2 linked regions of the Rhinolophus ferrumequinum genome follow. The protein of the gene in region 1 interacts with the protein of each later gene in a pairwise test. Links are inferred from orthologs where the notes say so. Each region holds a gene or a part of one and is shown on either strand. Other genes may lie near its edges.

The links. The genes of interacting proteins can lie anywhere in the genome.
Region 2: the proteins of SUMO1 (region 1) and MX1 interact in a two-hybrid assay, tested with the Homo sapiens proteins (2 studies listed by BioGRID). The link is inferred for Rhinolophus ferrumequinum from reciprocal best matches to the Homo sapiens genes SUMO1 and MX1.

The regions. Positions count from the first base shown.
Region 1 is NC_046291.1:29,338,697-29,346,298, forward strand, and holds the start of SUMO1 (small ubiquitin-related modifier 1), read left to right. Parts: upstream 1-4,598; 5' UTR 4,599-4,743; coding exon 4,744-4,755; intron 4,756-7,602. UniProt on the Homo sapiens protein: Ubiquitin-like protein that can be covalently attached to proteins as a monomer or a lysine-linked polymer.
Region 2 is NC_046285.1:105,591,689-105,598,903, forward strand, and holds the start of MX1 (interferon-induced GTP-binding protein Mx1), read left to right. Parts: upstream 1-4,207; 5' UTR 4,208-4,348; intron 4,349-7,215.

The DNA.
Region 1 (7,602 bases):
ATGAAGATAGTTATTAGTACTCACTATATAGGATTAAGTGAAATAAGAAAGGTATAGCACTTGGAAGAGGGTCTGCCACTCAATAAATCTTAACAATTATCATCATCAACAACAATTATAGGCTAAAGACTTCCAAATCTCGTATCTTCAGCCCAGATTTCTCTTAGTGCTCCAAATTATATCAACTGCTTCTTGGACATCTTTCCTTGGATGATTCTGGGCATTGCACATTCATGTCTAAAACTAATCTTTTTGTTTTCTTTGCAAATCTATGGTCCTCATCTCCAAATTTTTCTATTAAATCTTAAAATAATATCACCATGTCAAGTGACTCAAATCAGATTCTAATCAACCACCAAAACCTGCTAATTGTATCATCTCTATTTCCATCTCTACTTCCATTGATCTAATTCCCTATTACTGTCTTTTTTTTCTGGACTACTACTACAGCTTCCTAACTTATTTCCCTCTCTTTTGTACACCACAAGCTGATATTATCACTTCCCCTGCTTAAAAACACTTAGTGCCTCCTACACCCCTCTACTTCCAACATTATGCCTTTCATGATTAAGTCCAAATTTCTTAATATAGTTTACTAGATTTTCAGTGAATGGGTTGTTACTTTCCTTCCCGGTATTTTTTTTTTCTACCTCCTACCTCACAAACCATGCTCCTACTGTACAGAACTTGTCGTGCTTGCTTCGTTCTCTCTTACCACTTCTCTAGGCCAGGAAATCTCTTTCCTCCCTTCCTCTAGCTCAAAATATGGTCTGTGGACTACTGGAGGACCTGAGACCTTTTCAGGGGCTCTTCAAAATCAAAACTATTTTCATAATAATATTAAGACATTTACTTTTTTCACTGTGTGAACATTACCATCGATAGTGTAAATCAGTGGTTTGTAAAACTGCTGGCATCTTAGCAGGAGTCAAGACAGTGATACTGTGCTAGTATCCATTTTGTTCCTCACTGTGATGCGCTTGGAGAAAAAAACTAGTGTCACCTATGAATGTCCTGGATAAAACAGTGAAAAATTAATTATGGTAGGCTGAATAATGGCCTCCCAAAGATGTCTACTTCCTAATCGCCAAAACTTGTGAATATGTTACCTTACGTGGCAAAAGGAACTTTGCATACTTGTATGTGATTAAGGATCTTGAGATGGTGTGGTTATCCCGGATTATTTGGGAAGTTCAATGTAATTACAAGACTTCTTATAAGAGGGAGACAGGGTCAGAATCAGAGAAGATGTGACAACAGAAGCTGAGGAGGGGGAGAAGGGAGAGGTAGAGAAGAAAGGGAGGAGAGAAGAGAAGGGAAAGATGAGGGAGAGGAAGGGGAGGAAAAGTACACAAGTGAGAATTATAAGCTGATTTAGCCACTTAAAAAATCTAACATCATTTTTATGTGACAGAATAAATGACAGGTTAATAGTTGTTATTCAGATTTGGAAATACTGCAGACGATTTCTTAAAAATGAATAAATGAGCTTAACACTTAAAGAAAATAACTGACAGTATTTGTTGTCAATGACAAAATTTGAGCTTTTATGCAAAAATTAGTATTTTGGAGAATTTGTATTCATCACTGTGAGTTTGGCAGTTTCCCAAGATTTAAAGACTTTTTCTGATGAGTCTGTGAAAATAATGAATATGATTTTTAGATATTGTATAATGAAATGTGTCGACATTTAGGAGATCTGTATAACTCAGCGAAGCAATGTTTTCTAAATGACAAATCCATTATGTTACAAAATTACATATGAGTATAATATCTACCCAAAGTGTAAGGTAGACCACTGATTTTTTTAATGTAAAAGAACTCAGAAAGGTCATTGACATGGTTTCAAGTTCCACATTTCAATTAAGAAACTACCACTTGTCGAGTTTAGGTGTGGTATCAAAGAAAATATTCAACTATCTGAACAAGCTATTATACCCATCCTTCCCCCTCCTCCAATTACATATCTGTATGAGACTGAATTTCCTTTACATAAACAAATTGCAACAAATATGGCAACAATTGAATGAAGAAGTAGCTATAAACTATCTTGCTGTCTTCTATCAAGCCAGGGCTTAAAATAATTAAAGACATTTGTAAAAATGAAAAACACTGCCACTCTCTCACTAGTTTTTTTTTTTAAATTTAGAAAACATGGTCATTTTTCATACAAATATGTTATTTGTGCCCATCAAGGGCTTATTGTTTTTCAACAAATTAATACATATTTAAAATTTTTTTCTCGGTTTTAATTTCTAATATGTTAAATATTGGTGGAAATGACATGAACAAAAGTTCTTCGAGGTCTTCCGTAATTTTTAAAAGTTTAAAGCAGTTCTGGGACCAAACTGTTTAGGAATTGCTGCTGTAGCTGATGTAAACTTACCCTTTGGATTTCAATTTAGGTTTTATTTTATTTCTTTGGAAGATTTTCACAGTCATCCTGGTTGGATGTAAATGTCCTACCTGTTCCCTTAATAATACTTTACTTATTATTAGCTGCTGTCTTAGGGCCATTGTATCTTATTTTTGTTTTTTTATATAACAATTTTCTTGAGATATAATTAACATATCATAGAGTTTCCTATTTAAAATGTACAATTTTCAGTTTTTTACCAGTTTCCCAGAGCTGTGCAACCATCATCACAATGTATTTGAGCATTTACAGCATTTTCATCACTTCCAAAAGAAAACCTGTATCACTTCCCATTTCCCCCTAATTTTCCAGCCCTAGTTGAAGTCTGGAGCAGTAGTCTACTAATCTATTTTCTGTCTCTATAGCTTTGCCTATTCTGGACATGTCATATTAATGGAATCATACTTTATGACTGGCTACTTTCACTTAGCATAATATCTTCTAGTTTCATCCATATTGTATGAGTACTTCATTCCTTTTTATGGCCTAATGGTATTCCATTGTATGGGTACATTACTTTTGTTTTCCATTAATCAGTTGATGGACATTTATTTGGGTTATTTCTACATTTTTTGCTATTATGAATAATGTTTCTGTGAATATTTGAGTACATGTTTTTGTGTGGACATGTGTCATCAATTCTGTTGGGTGTATATATATATATAGGAATAGAATTGCTGGATCATGGTAACTTTATATTTAACAGTTTGAGGAACTGCCAGAATGTTTTTCAAAGCATTTTATAGTCCCACTAAGTAGTGTATGAGGGTTATAATTTTTCTATATCTTTGTCAACACTTCTTATTATCATCTGTCCTTTAAATTATAGATATCCTAGTGTGTGTGAAGCGTTATTTCATTGTGGCTTTAATTTGCATTTCCTTGATTGCTGATGATATTGAGCATCTCCATTTGCCCATTTGTATCTCCTTTGAAGAAATGTCTATTTAGATTTTTTGGGTCTATTTTTAAGTTGGATTATTTGTCGTTTTATTATTGAATTGTAATAGTTCTTAGTTCTTTATATAGTTTGAGTATTAACCCTTATAGATATATTTGCAAATATCTTCTCCCTTTTTTTAGGTTGTCTCTTGAACACAAAAGACAAAAGTTTTTTACTTCAATGAAGTCCAATTTATTTTCGTTTGGTTGGTTGTGCTTTTGGTATCATATACAAGAAGCCACCCCCTAATCCAAGGTCAAGAAGATTTATGCCTGTTTTCTCCTAAGAGTTTTAGCTCTTACATTTAGGCCTTGATCCATTCTAAGTTAATTTTTCATATGTTCTAAGGTAGTGATCCAAATTCATTATTTTGCACGTGGATATTCAGTTGTCCCAACAACATATGTTGAAAGACTTCTTTCACCATTTAATTCTTGGTATTCTTGTCGAAAATTATTGATGTGTGAGGGCTTACTGATTTACTTCTGAAACTATTCTATTTCATTTGTCTACATCCTTATTCTCTATGCATTTGTCAGTAGGGCCATTGTATTTTAAAGAAGAAATCATAGGGGGATCATTCCTTAACTCAAAGCAACGAATTCAAGAGTCAGAATTAGCTACTGCTCCCCAACAGTTTAGAACTTTCAGCAGCCATCAAGTAGCCATCAGTAGCCATCAAGATCGTGTCCAATGGGATCCTTGTTTTGTTTTGTTTTGCCTCCGGCCCCCCAATCAAGGTCATGTGACCGCGTGGTGTGTGTGTGTGTGTGTGTGTGTGTGTGTGTGTGTGTGTGTGTGTGAGAGAGAGAGAGAGAGAGAGAGAGAGAGAGAGAGAGAGAGAGAGAGAGAGAGAGAGAGAGCGCTAAATCAAAAATGTTAGCTCGAGGGTAAGAAGCACTGGTATTCAATCCAATTTCTTTCGGGAGGTTGACGAGCAAGGCCAGGAGACAATAGAAGTTTCTTGGTTCAGCCTTCAGAAACGCGCAAGGTGTCGGAGAGGGAGGAGTCTGGGCTGTCAGTACTGTCCCAAACATTGATACTGGGGACGGGGAACTTTTCCTCTGGTCTCGGGATTGAGGTGCCTGGTCTTCGATGGAGCAGACGAGAAGGTTGTTAATTCGCTCGCGCGACCACCAGTCAAGCAGCTGATCTAGCACCGAGCCCCCCGTGTCGGTGTAGCCCCCACCCGTTTTCCCGCCTCGCCTCTTTTCCCTATCCCTGCTCCCAGCGCGTAGCGGAAGTGACGCAAGCAGTAGCGGAAGTCCCTCCAGCCGCGGTGTTGTGCTGTGGGGAAGAGAGACGGATTTGTAAACCCCGGAGCGAGGTTCTGCGTGCCCGAGGCCGCTGCTGTGCGGAGACCCCGGGGGAAGCCACCGTCACTATGTCTGACCAGGTACCGGGCCGGCGGCCGTCCGATGGCGGTGACTGGGGCCTTCCTCGGCAGGTCCGCCTGCCGCTGGGCTGGAGCCAGGGATGGAGGCGCGGGGGAGGGGAGCGCAGAATGGGGGAGGGGGCGGCCGGTGGGGACTCGGCGGGCGAGAGAGGGGAGTGGACTAGGGCCGGAGACGGCGGGGCCTGCCGCGGGCCTCCGGGAGCCGTCCTGCCCCTCTCCGGGCTCGCTCATCACCCTCTGCCACAGCGTCTCTGGTCGCGGCCTCCCGCAGGTCGTCCCCCTTGCAGAGCCCAGCTTCCACCTCCCGGGGAGGGTGGGTCCCCGGGGAACCTGTCTGCCTCCCTCCCAGAGGACTGGTTGCCGAAGCAGGGCTCTAGGCCCCAGTTATGTAACGGGAGAGAGTCTGCCCGGGAGGCTTCGTGGCCCTGAAAAGCGCCTGGACTCCACTTTTTGGTTCTCGGGTTTTGGGTAGCCCTGGAGTAGGGACGTTGGGGCGGGGAGGGGAGGGAGACATTGTCTGGTGTTGCTGGGAACCTAGAAAGCACTGCTTTCCGTTCGGATTGCGGCGGGGGCCGGGCCGCCGCGGCTCTTTTCTGAGTCTTTTTCCGTGTGGGGGTGCAGAGCTGTCGCCTCTTTTCTTGTACTTTTCCATTTCTTACTCGGGATTGGTTCAGCAACTCTCCATTTGTAAGGGAGCACTCAGAATAACCAAGAAACAAAGTAGAACAAAACCGCTCGAGCAACAGAAAACATTTCCCCTGGGCATTAACCTGGAGATGACTGATACTTTTGAGGAAAAGGATAGGAATACTGTATATACTCGTGTATATACTCGTAGAGCCGTTGCAGGACATTTGCAGAAAGCTGCCTGTTACGGCAAAGTGCTCCGTCTTAATGTTAATATCAATGATTTACTTGGGATTTGTACTTAAATCAGGAGCGTTCGATTTTCCGTGGTAAGTTTTTCATATTTTCCTAGTTAACCACGTTTTACGGCTAGTTTTTAATTAATAAGGTTTTTGTCTGGTCTTTTGTTTGCTCAGACGACTTTGACTTTTCAAAGTATTTTTAGACCTTTGCTTGTTTAGTGATAGTTATCTAGAAAACTTTCAGTCAACTCCCTAATGTACTTGAACTTAAAAATTTAACACACTTATATTCTCTTGGCATTTAACCCGGGTCAGTTTTCTTTCTACAGCTTGGTGAGAGCGAGTTCGGCTTTTGTGGATTTGTACTAGTGTGCAAAATGTACATAAAAAATTTTAAAGTTTAACCATAATCTAGATTAGTTTTGGGGATCTTATTACTAACGGTCTAGGTTAATTCCCAAGTTGGTATGGGAATGGCCGTTATAAGTATCTACCTAGATAGTTGTTTACTTGGTTACCAGGGAGTAAATGAACAGGTGTAAATGCTTAGTTTTCATCAGCCTTTTATTTTGATGCTCAGAAGTGACTAGGAAGCATGTTGAAATTTACTATAGTGTGATGAAAGAGTAATGTACAGAAAGAATTATAAAGTAAATTGTAGAGTTTATTGCTCCAGTTTGAATTCTGGTCATTTAGAAAGACATGAAGGAAGAAATAAAGGACCTAAGACACTAACAGGTGGTTTTAGGCCAGAGGTTCTTTAGATTCTTTTTTAGGGGGCCTCAAAATTATTTTCATGATAATACTAGGACATTGTTGGTCTTTTTCATTCTGGTTCTTTCATGAGTGTTCAGTGGAGTTTTCTAAAGACTAACGTGACCTGTGATATCACAACAGATTGAAATGTAGAAGGAGATGTGAAAAGCCAACTGCTTTCTATTAAGCCAGACATTAAAGAGATTTGCAAAAATGAGGAACAGTGCCACTCTTCTCATTAGTTTTGTTCTGAAAACTTTTTAATAAAACTGTTATTTGCTGATATATGAAGGGTTTGTTATTTTTAAATGAATTAATCTTTAAAACATTTCTCAGTTTCAATGTCTAATACTATAAACCTCAATAGATATAACCAACCTGACAAAAATTTTATGGGGAGGGGGGTCTAAATAATTTCTAAGAGCATAAAGAAGTCCTGAGACCAAAAAGTTTGAGAATTGTTCTAGTCTGATAGACCAGCATCATTAACAATTGGGACCCAGTACAATTTCATGTTGGGTGCTAAGAATTTAAAGAGGTATAAAGTTGAACTCTTACCTTTAAGAGGCTTATGAACGGGAGTAAGAATCCCAAGTTACCACTGTGCAATATCAGCAGCATGAGTCTGAACCAGTGCCCCCAAAAGACAATCTTTATTTAAACAAAGTTTTGTTAGAATGTCTTTTCTGAGGCACCTTTCAGGAGGTTATTGTCTGGTGCTAAGATACTGAAATTGAGTAATAATTTCAGGTTAAAATAGGGGGGCATTAAATTCATAGAAGACTTAAATTGCTGGGTTCTCCATTGATTAAAGAATATTATATTTGGAATTTGAGTGAAACACTTTTTTGCAATTCTAACAATCCAGCATTGTCCAGTGGATTTGTGGACCATTAAAAAATAATCATCTCAAACATTTTAAACCCAAGTTTCGTGGACCTAAAGGGCTGAAAATTCACTGAAATTGTTATGGAGTGTTTTGTGAGTATTTGTGCATATGTTTTTTCCTTTCTTTTTTTACGGGAGAAAGGGCCCATAACTTTCATCAGGGATACATGATCCCTCAAAAAGTTAAGGAGACCCCAGGATATTCAGACTTATGGCAGCTCAGGGCCCACAGAGAGAGTGACGTGAGTTGTTCCCAGAGAACCCCAGGTGGAAACCTCAAGCCTTCTAGGACCTAGCCTTGAAAGTCACTTCTGCCTTCTTAGGCAAATCACTA
Region 2 (7,215 bases), on another chromosome or scaffold:
AATGAAAGATGGTTACAATATGGATGGACCTAGAGAACATTATGTTAAGTGAAATAAGTCAGACAGAGAAAGACAAATACCATATGATCTCACTTATATGTGGAATCTAAAGAAAAGAATAAATGAATGAACTAATCAGAAACAGTCTCAGAGACATAGAGGAAAAGCTGAGGGTTGCTAGATTGGTGGGGGAGGGATAAGGGGGAAGGTGAGGGGATTAGAAAGTATAGTCGGTAACCACAAGATGGCCACGGGGAAACGAAAGTCAATTTGGGGAACGTAATCAATAATGTTGTAAAGATTTTGTAGGGTATCCGATGGACACTTGTCCCATTAGGGAGACCACCTCAGGGATGGTGTAGATGCCTGATCACTGCACCGTACACCTGAAGCTGAAGCTGAACAATAGTGAATGTCAGGGACCGGCCCAGTGGCTCAGGCGGTTAGAGCTCCATGCTCCTAACTCCGAAGGCGGCCGGTTCGATTCCCACATGGGCCAGTGGGCTCTCAACCACAAAGTTGCCAGTTCAGTTCCCCGAGTCCCGCAAGGGATGGTGAGCTCCGCCCCCTGCAACTAAGATCGAACAGGCACCTTGAGCTGAGCTGCCGCTGAGCTCCCAAATGGCTCAGTTGGTTGGAGCACGTCCTCTCAACCACAAGGCTGTGGGTTCGACTCCCGCAAGGGATGGTGGGCTGTGCCCCCTGCAACTAGCAACGGCAACTGGACCTGGAGCTCAGCTGCGCCCTCCACAACTAAGATTGAAAGGACAACAACTTGACTTGGAAAAAAAAGTCGTGGAAGTACACACTGTTCCCCAATAAAGTCCTGGTCCCCTTCCCCAATAAAATCTTTAAAAAAAAATAATGAATATCAACTACAATTATATATGTATACACACACACACACACACACACACACATAGTTACAAGAAGCAGAGTACAGCATTAGGAATAGAGACAGTGGAGATGTAATGGCTGTGTGCGATGTCAGAGGGGTAGTGGAGGGGGGGGTTGTCACTGTGTGAGGGACATAAATGATAAATGTCTATCACATTGTTTTGTGCACCTGAAACTAAGAAAAAAAAAAGATGGTTACAACTCAGCCAATGAAAAGCCACTAAACTTCAGACAAACTCCCAGTTTCCTCCAATGGACTTTTTGTTTACAACAGCCCCTCTGAACTCTCCTCTTTCCTCTACAAAGAAGTTCCTCTCTTTTATTCTCTGACTTTTATTTGATTCGCCATTAGGCTGCATGACCTGAACTGCACTTCTTTATTGTTCCAAATAAACCCATTTTACTGGAGAAATATCTGGCTATTTTTTAAAGGTCAACAGGACCCAGTTTCCATTTCTCACTAGCTTTGTGGGGGGAAAGCGTCTACCTCTCCACGTCTCCATTTTCTCCACATCTCCATTTCCTATTTGATTAGTTTTTGCTCTATTGGAAGATCATGTGTTTAGAGAAATTAGCCCAGTGCCTGACGGAGTCACTATTCTATGAACACTTCACAACCAAGGGACAGCATTTTTTTTTTTTTTTTTTTAAGATTTCATTGCGGAAGGGGAACAGGACTTTATTGGGGAACAGCGTGTACTTCCAGGACTTTTACCAAGTCAAGTTGTTGTCCTTTCAATCTTAGTTATGGAGGGCACAGCTCAGCTCAAGGTCCAGTTGCCATTGTTAGTTGCAGGGGGCAGAGCCCACCATCCCTTGCGGGAGTCAAACTGGCAACCTGTGGTTGAGAGCCCATGCTCCAACCGACTGAGCCATCCAGCAGCTCAGCGGCAGCTCAGGTGCCATGTTCAATCTTAGTTGCAGGGGGCGCAGCCCACCATGCCTTTTGGGAGTTGAGCAATCGAACCGGCAACCTTGTGGTTGAGAGCCCACTGGCCCATGTGGGAATCGAACCGGCAGCCTTTGGCGTTAGGAGCATGGAGCTCCAACCACCTGAGCCACCAGGCCAGCCCAAGAGACAGCATTTTTAATACAGAGATATTGCATTGGGGTCTCTCCACTACCTGTACTGTGAAATGTGGAGCCCAGTTGTGGCAGAGGAGGAATGAAGCAGCCTGAGTTGGAATTTGAAGAACTGATGGAAAGAACAAGCTGAGTCAATACCCATTAGCCTTCTGGGGAGAGGTCCTGGGAAGGCAGGAGACACCTGCCTTCACCATATGAAAAATAAATTTTCATCGGGTGAATGCCATAGGGACAGTTGGCCCTATCCTGGAAAAAACGATTTCGCAATGGCCACCGACCTTTCCCCAGTGACTGTGCACTGGGCCATGTGTACACCAAGCCAGGACCCAGGGTCCCCAGCTCAGCTCTACCAGGCTTTCAGTATCTGTCTCCTCGGGACAGGGCTCGCTGGGGGACCTGGGGCAGATAAGAAGGCAAAGCCTGGCCCTTTAAGACCAGATAAATAACAACCTTGGTGGTGCCTGCCTTCTGGTGCTTTAATTGCAAATGAAACACGTGGAGAATCCCCTTAACATGCAGATTGATTCAGTGATTTTGGGGTGGCCCCAATCCCTGAAGCCAATGCTTCTGGTCGGGGCACCACCCTTTGAGAAGGACTGGTTTATGCCACAAACATAGAGGAGAAAACGAATTGGGGCCAATGACACCTGGGGCAGGACCAGTGCTCCGGGCCAGACAGAGAGGACGCTGGGCGGGGGCGCTCTTTCCGGCCCTTTGGCCCCTCCTCACAGGCGTGGGAGTATTATCCCAGTGGTTCAGGGCTGCCGAGCAGTCCCGCGCCCCCCTCCTGCCCCCACTTCCTCGAGGCACGTGACACAGGCAGAACCGTGGCCAGGTTCAGCCACGTCTGAGAGGCCTGGGGCCAGAGAACCTCCTCTGGGCTCCGCCCTCCTCCTCCTCCTCGGGGCTCCGCCCCCTTCTCCCCAGCTCCTGGATTTAGGATTCTATTGTTGCTTCATCTAACTTACTTTTCTGTGAACCCAGGAGGAGAAAAGAAACTGAAACCGAATCTGAGTTGACTAGAAACGGAGACAGGGAAGGAGAGGCGGGGAGACTACGGAGGAAACTGAGAGGCGTAGGGAATCTGTCCGGAGGTCACTTGAGGACCACGTCTGCAAGACCAGAGCCGGTCCTACCCATCATTCATTCATACATTCACTCATTCCTGTCTTCCAGAAACATGTATTGAAACACTGTGCCAGCAACTATGCTGGATTCCGAGTGCAACAGCAAGCTTCATGGACCTGGTCCCTCCCCATGTTCACGGCCACAGAGGCCAAGACAATGTGACGAGGCCCCACTCCACAGGGGCGTGGGGGAGAACACGGGGATCCCAGGGAGCAAGTCCCCTAGGCCTGGAGAAGGGGGCGGGGGCGAGGAGGAGCGCCTTGGGCTGCAGCAAAGAGGGGCAACATCCCAGCAGTGGTCCTGGGGCAAGGTGAGGCAGGGCACAGGCAGGCCTGGCACACCACGCTGCGTAGGAATGCCCACCCCGGCAGCGGGGCAACTCGCAGCATTTTTATGGAATGCAGTGTGCTTCCCGTTTTGAGAAAATGCCCAGTTGGGGCCGTAGGGAGCTGGAAGCATTGCTTTTCATTAATGCCAGCTCAGCTCTCCTTGACACACCTGGGCCAGCCCTAGCAGGTGACGAGAGGGCTGTACGAGGACCCTAGTCACCCGTTGGTGCGCAGGCAGCAGGGGCTGGGGCCACATCCCCCACAATCCAGGACATCCATCCGAGATGAACTGCATCTTAGTCTTAGCGAAGCCAGTGGGGGGCGGGATGAAGCACGACCCAGGCTTGGAAGGAGCTCCCAGGGGCCGCTGCGGATAGGGCACATCGCAGTTGGGACTTGGCAGGGAAGGAGGCTGTCTCCGGGAGCCTGTGGGAGAAGGGCTGGCCCGCAGAAGTGTGATGGTGGCGATGAGTGGGGCGCTGAGCCTGGTGGACAGTCCTCGAGGGCGAAGAGTACACAAGTCGTTTGGGAGAACACAGAGTAATCGATGTTTCTTTAGCAGAGAAGGAATCGCCAGCAATTCAGGTGGAAGGTTGTGTGCTTCCATCTTGTCGTGCGGCTGGAGAGTCTGCGAGGCTCCAGAGCTCCCAGGGCTGAGGATGCTTTGGTGCCGGGCGCGCACTCGGAGCGCCTTGCTGAGGCTGCAGCTCCGCGCGGGGGGGGGGGGGTAGGAGGGGTGGGGGGGCGGGGCGACGGATTCGGTTTCGTTTCTGTTCCCTCCGGCCCCTCGGGGTAGGAGAGTTTCGTTTCCCCGCGGCCTGGCCTGACTGGAGCGGAGGGCGGAGCACACACACCACTTAAAGCCGGAGAGTGGTGAGGGTGCCGCACTCGCGGCAGTGAGGAGACGGGTGAGTATCGCGCTCCCGGGTCCGTGCACCCTCCGGCCGGCTGCGGGAGGCTCGAAGGAGGGCGTTTGCAGAGGGAGGCTGGTTGCAGAGGGAGCGCTCGGCGGTGTGGGCATTGCGGGGCTAGTAATAGTAATGATGCTGAATGAGAATGAGAACAACACTGATGCTGGCTGGGCCGAGAGCGCGCTTGATTCTACTTCAGAGCAACGGCTGCTGAGGCTCCTGGGTGACCGATCCCAAACAGCCCCCGAACCGGTGGCTTTTCTGCTTGAGGAGGTGGGAAGGTACTGGGGATGGGAGCCAATGGGGTCTCTGAAAGAGCGGGTTAAGGGCGACGCACTGAAAAAGTTTCACATCCACCGCTGCATGGTCTCCGAGCCCACCCCAAAAGCCGACCACTTTTTATTGTTGACTTATCCAGCTAACGCGTTCAAAGCGGACAGGTCAGCCCCGGGGATTCCTTGGAAGCTGATGGACAAAGGGCCTTCACGGACCCTGCAGAGTATGAGCGGCTGGAGCTGAGCGTCCTTGCGAGGAAGCTCTGGGTACGGGCGCAGCCCCGTGGGAAGGACCTCCTGCTGGGAGAGACCAGGCATGCGCCGAAGTGCCCTGCGCCGCATAGCCCCACCCACCGGGGAGGTGCCCCTTAAGTTTGTGCAGCAGGGTGCCACTGAGTGGGGCAGACTCACACTCCGGGTCCATTGTCATTTGCGGGGATAAACCGAGGCAGGATGTGCTAGGGGCTGACGGAAGTAACCCAGCAGCCACCGAGAGCGGTGCATGTGGGCTTCTCGGAGTTAGGTCAAATTTTAAATCAAGTTTTTGTTGGAAGTACGGTCAAGTGATACTAACCGTCAGCTGTCAGTCCCAAAGGCTGGGTGTCACCTTTCTGTTTTGGAGCACACCTGCTCTCCCCACCTCCACCACCTCCGAGGTGACCCCCCCCCCCCATTCTTTCCTCTTCCCTTCTCCCCACATCCCGACACTCAGCTCAGTGTGTCTACGGAGAGAGCATTAGGGTAAAGTGGAGATGTTCTCCCGTTTAATAATAAAATATTTAAATGTCTGGGCTTTTAGAAAGCAGAACACTTTCAAGAGAAAATGCAAATGTAAGTCCTGCGAGATTATTTTAAGATCTAGTCTGATTTATGAGTGTGAGTGCTGGAAAAAATACTTTTCCTCCCACCTGTGTGCTTCTCTCTGGGTTAATAATCAAATTAACAGAGACAGATTAACAGGAGAAAATCAAGTTTTAGTACATATGAAAGGGGAATTCACAGAAGCAGGAAAATTCCAGGCAGCGAGGCAACACTGGGTATACATGACATTATGGACAAAGGAGAAAAGGGGGGATGGGGTATTAGATTTCAGAAGTGAGAATGGGTGATTTACAGGTAGTTAAGGAAGATGGAACAGCCTGGCAGGCAAATTCTTGCTGGGCAACCAACCCCGAGACAATGGGACTCTGGCGGGATGGTCCACACAATGGGACTCTGGCGGGATGGTCCACAGGCTCCCGCGTGGAGTCTCCCTGTGTAGTGACCAGCCATTATGCTAAGTTTCCTCCCTGAAGCAGGTTTTTCTGTCTGATTCTCTTGAGCAGGAAGGGGTGGGGGAGCAAAGGTTCTTTCTGGGTCTTTTGTTTCTTAGTAACCAGCTTGAAAATCAATATCCCACAATGTAAAACTTTCGGTCCCCTTCTTGGGCAAGGTGCAGACTCTGGATCTGGCAGTCTGTAGGATATGCTAGGTATGTGGTCCTTCGCAGAGGTGGGGGCGCTAAATCACCCTCCCATCCCCGCTGCCGCATGCTCTCTAAGCTCAGGAAGCTTCCCCACAAGCACGGAAATCCACCCCCTCAGCCCACAGCAGGGATTCTCCAGTGCCACTGCTGTTAGTTAGATGGGCCTCTAGTCTGGAGGCCACTGGCAAGCTACCAGTCCGGAAATCTGAAGTGGAGGGGGCAGCCAGCCCGTCACCCCCACGGACAGTGAGACCTGAGTGGACACAGAGCTGCCCTGGGCAGGAATGGAAAGAGGCTGCTGCACCTGGGCAGGGTCTCTCCTCCCTAAACCAAGCTTCGGAGTGAGAGGAGAGCCTGGTCCAGTAGCCCACCAGTGCCCACTGGGGGTGTGCAGAGGTGCGGAAGGTGACAGCTGGAAAGGAGAGATGGTGTGCAGGCCTCAAAACTCCCTTCGGTCTTGTCTGCAAACGCAGGGTCCAGAGTAGACGTTTGATGAGCAGTATGGGCTGAGAGCTAAGGGTCACCACGATGGCCAAAGTTGGCAAATGCATTCAGGCGAGTGTGGCAGCTGTAGCGGAATGCGGGGTGTGATGAAGAAGTCAGAAAGTGGTTTTCCTTACTGAGATTGTCCTGCTCCTGAAATCCAAACCGATCCTCAAAGATGATCCATGAAAGGTACAAACATTTAAGATGGACAGACAAAACCCACACGTTTTTGCTTTCAGGGACTGTCATTTTACCAATCAGAAAGTGAGATACCATATGATCTCTATTATGTGGGGAATCTAAAACAAAATAAATGAATAAACAAAACAAAGCGGAAACAGACCCTTAGATATAGAGAGTACGCTGATGGTTGCCAGAGGAGGGGCATGAGGGATGGGAATTAAAATTTTTTTTTAATAATTTGTTTTTTTTTTTTATTTTAAAACATTTGAAAGAAATAAAGACGCATCCTGTGTGCGGGGAACTGCCTTAGTATTGCTAGTCAGTCAGAACTTTCTTTTAAAATAAAAACAGGATGTGCTTGAAAAGCTGTAAGTTTTCTATGGGAAACCCTTGCTGAGTCAGTTTTTAAACACTGGACACAATTCTCATAGAGCAGGTTCAGGTTTACTAGGACG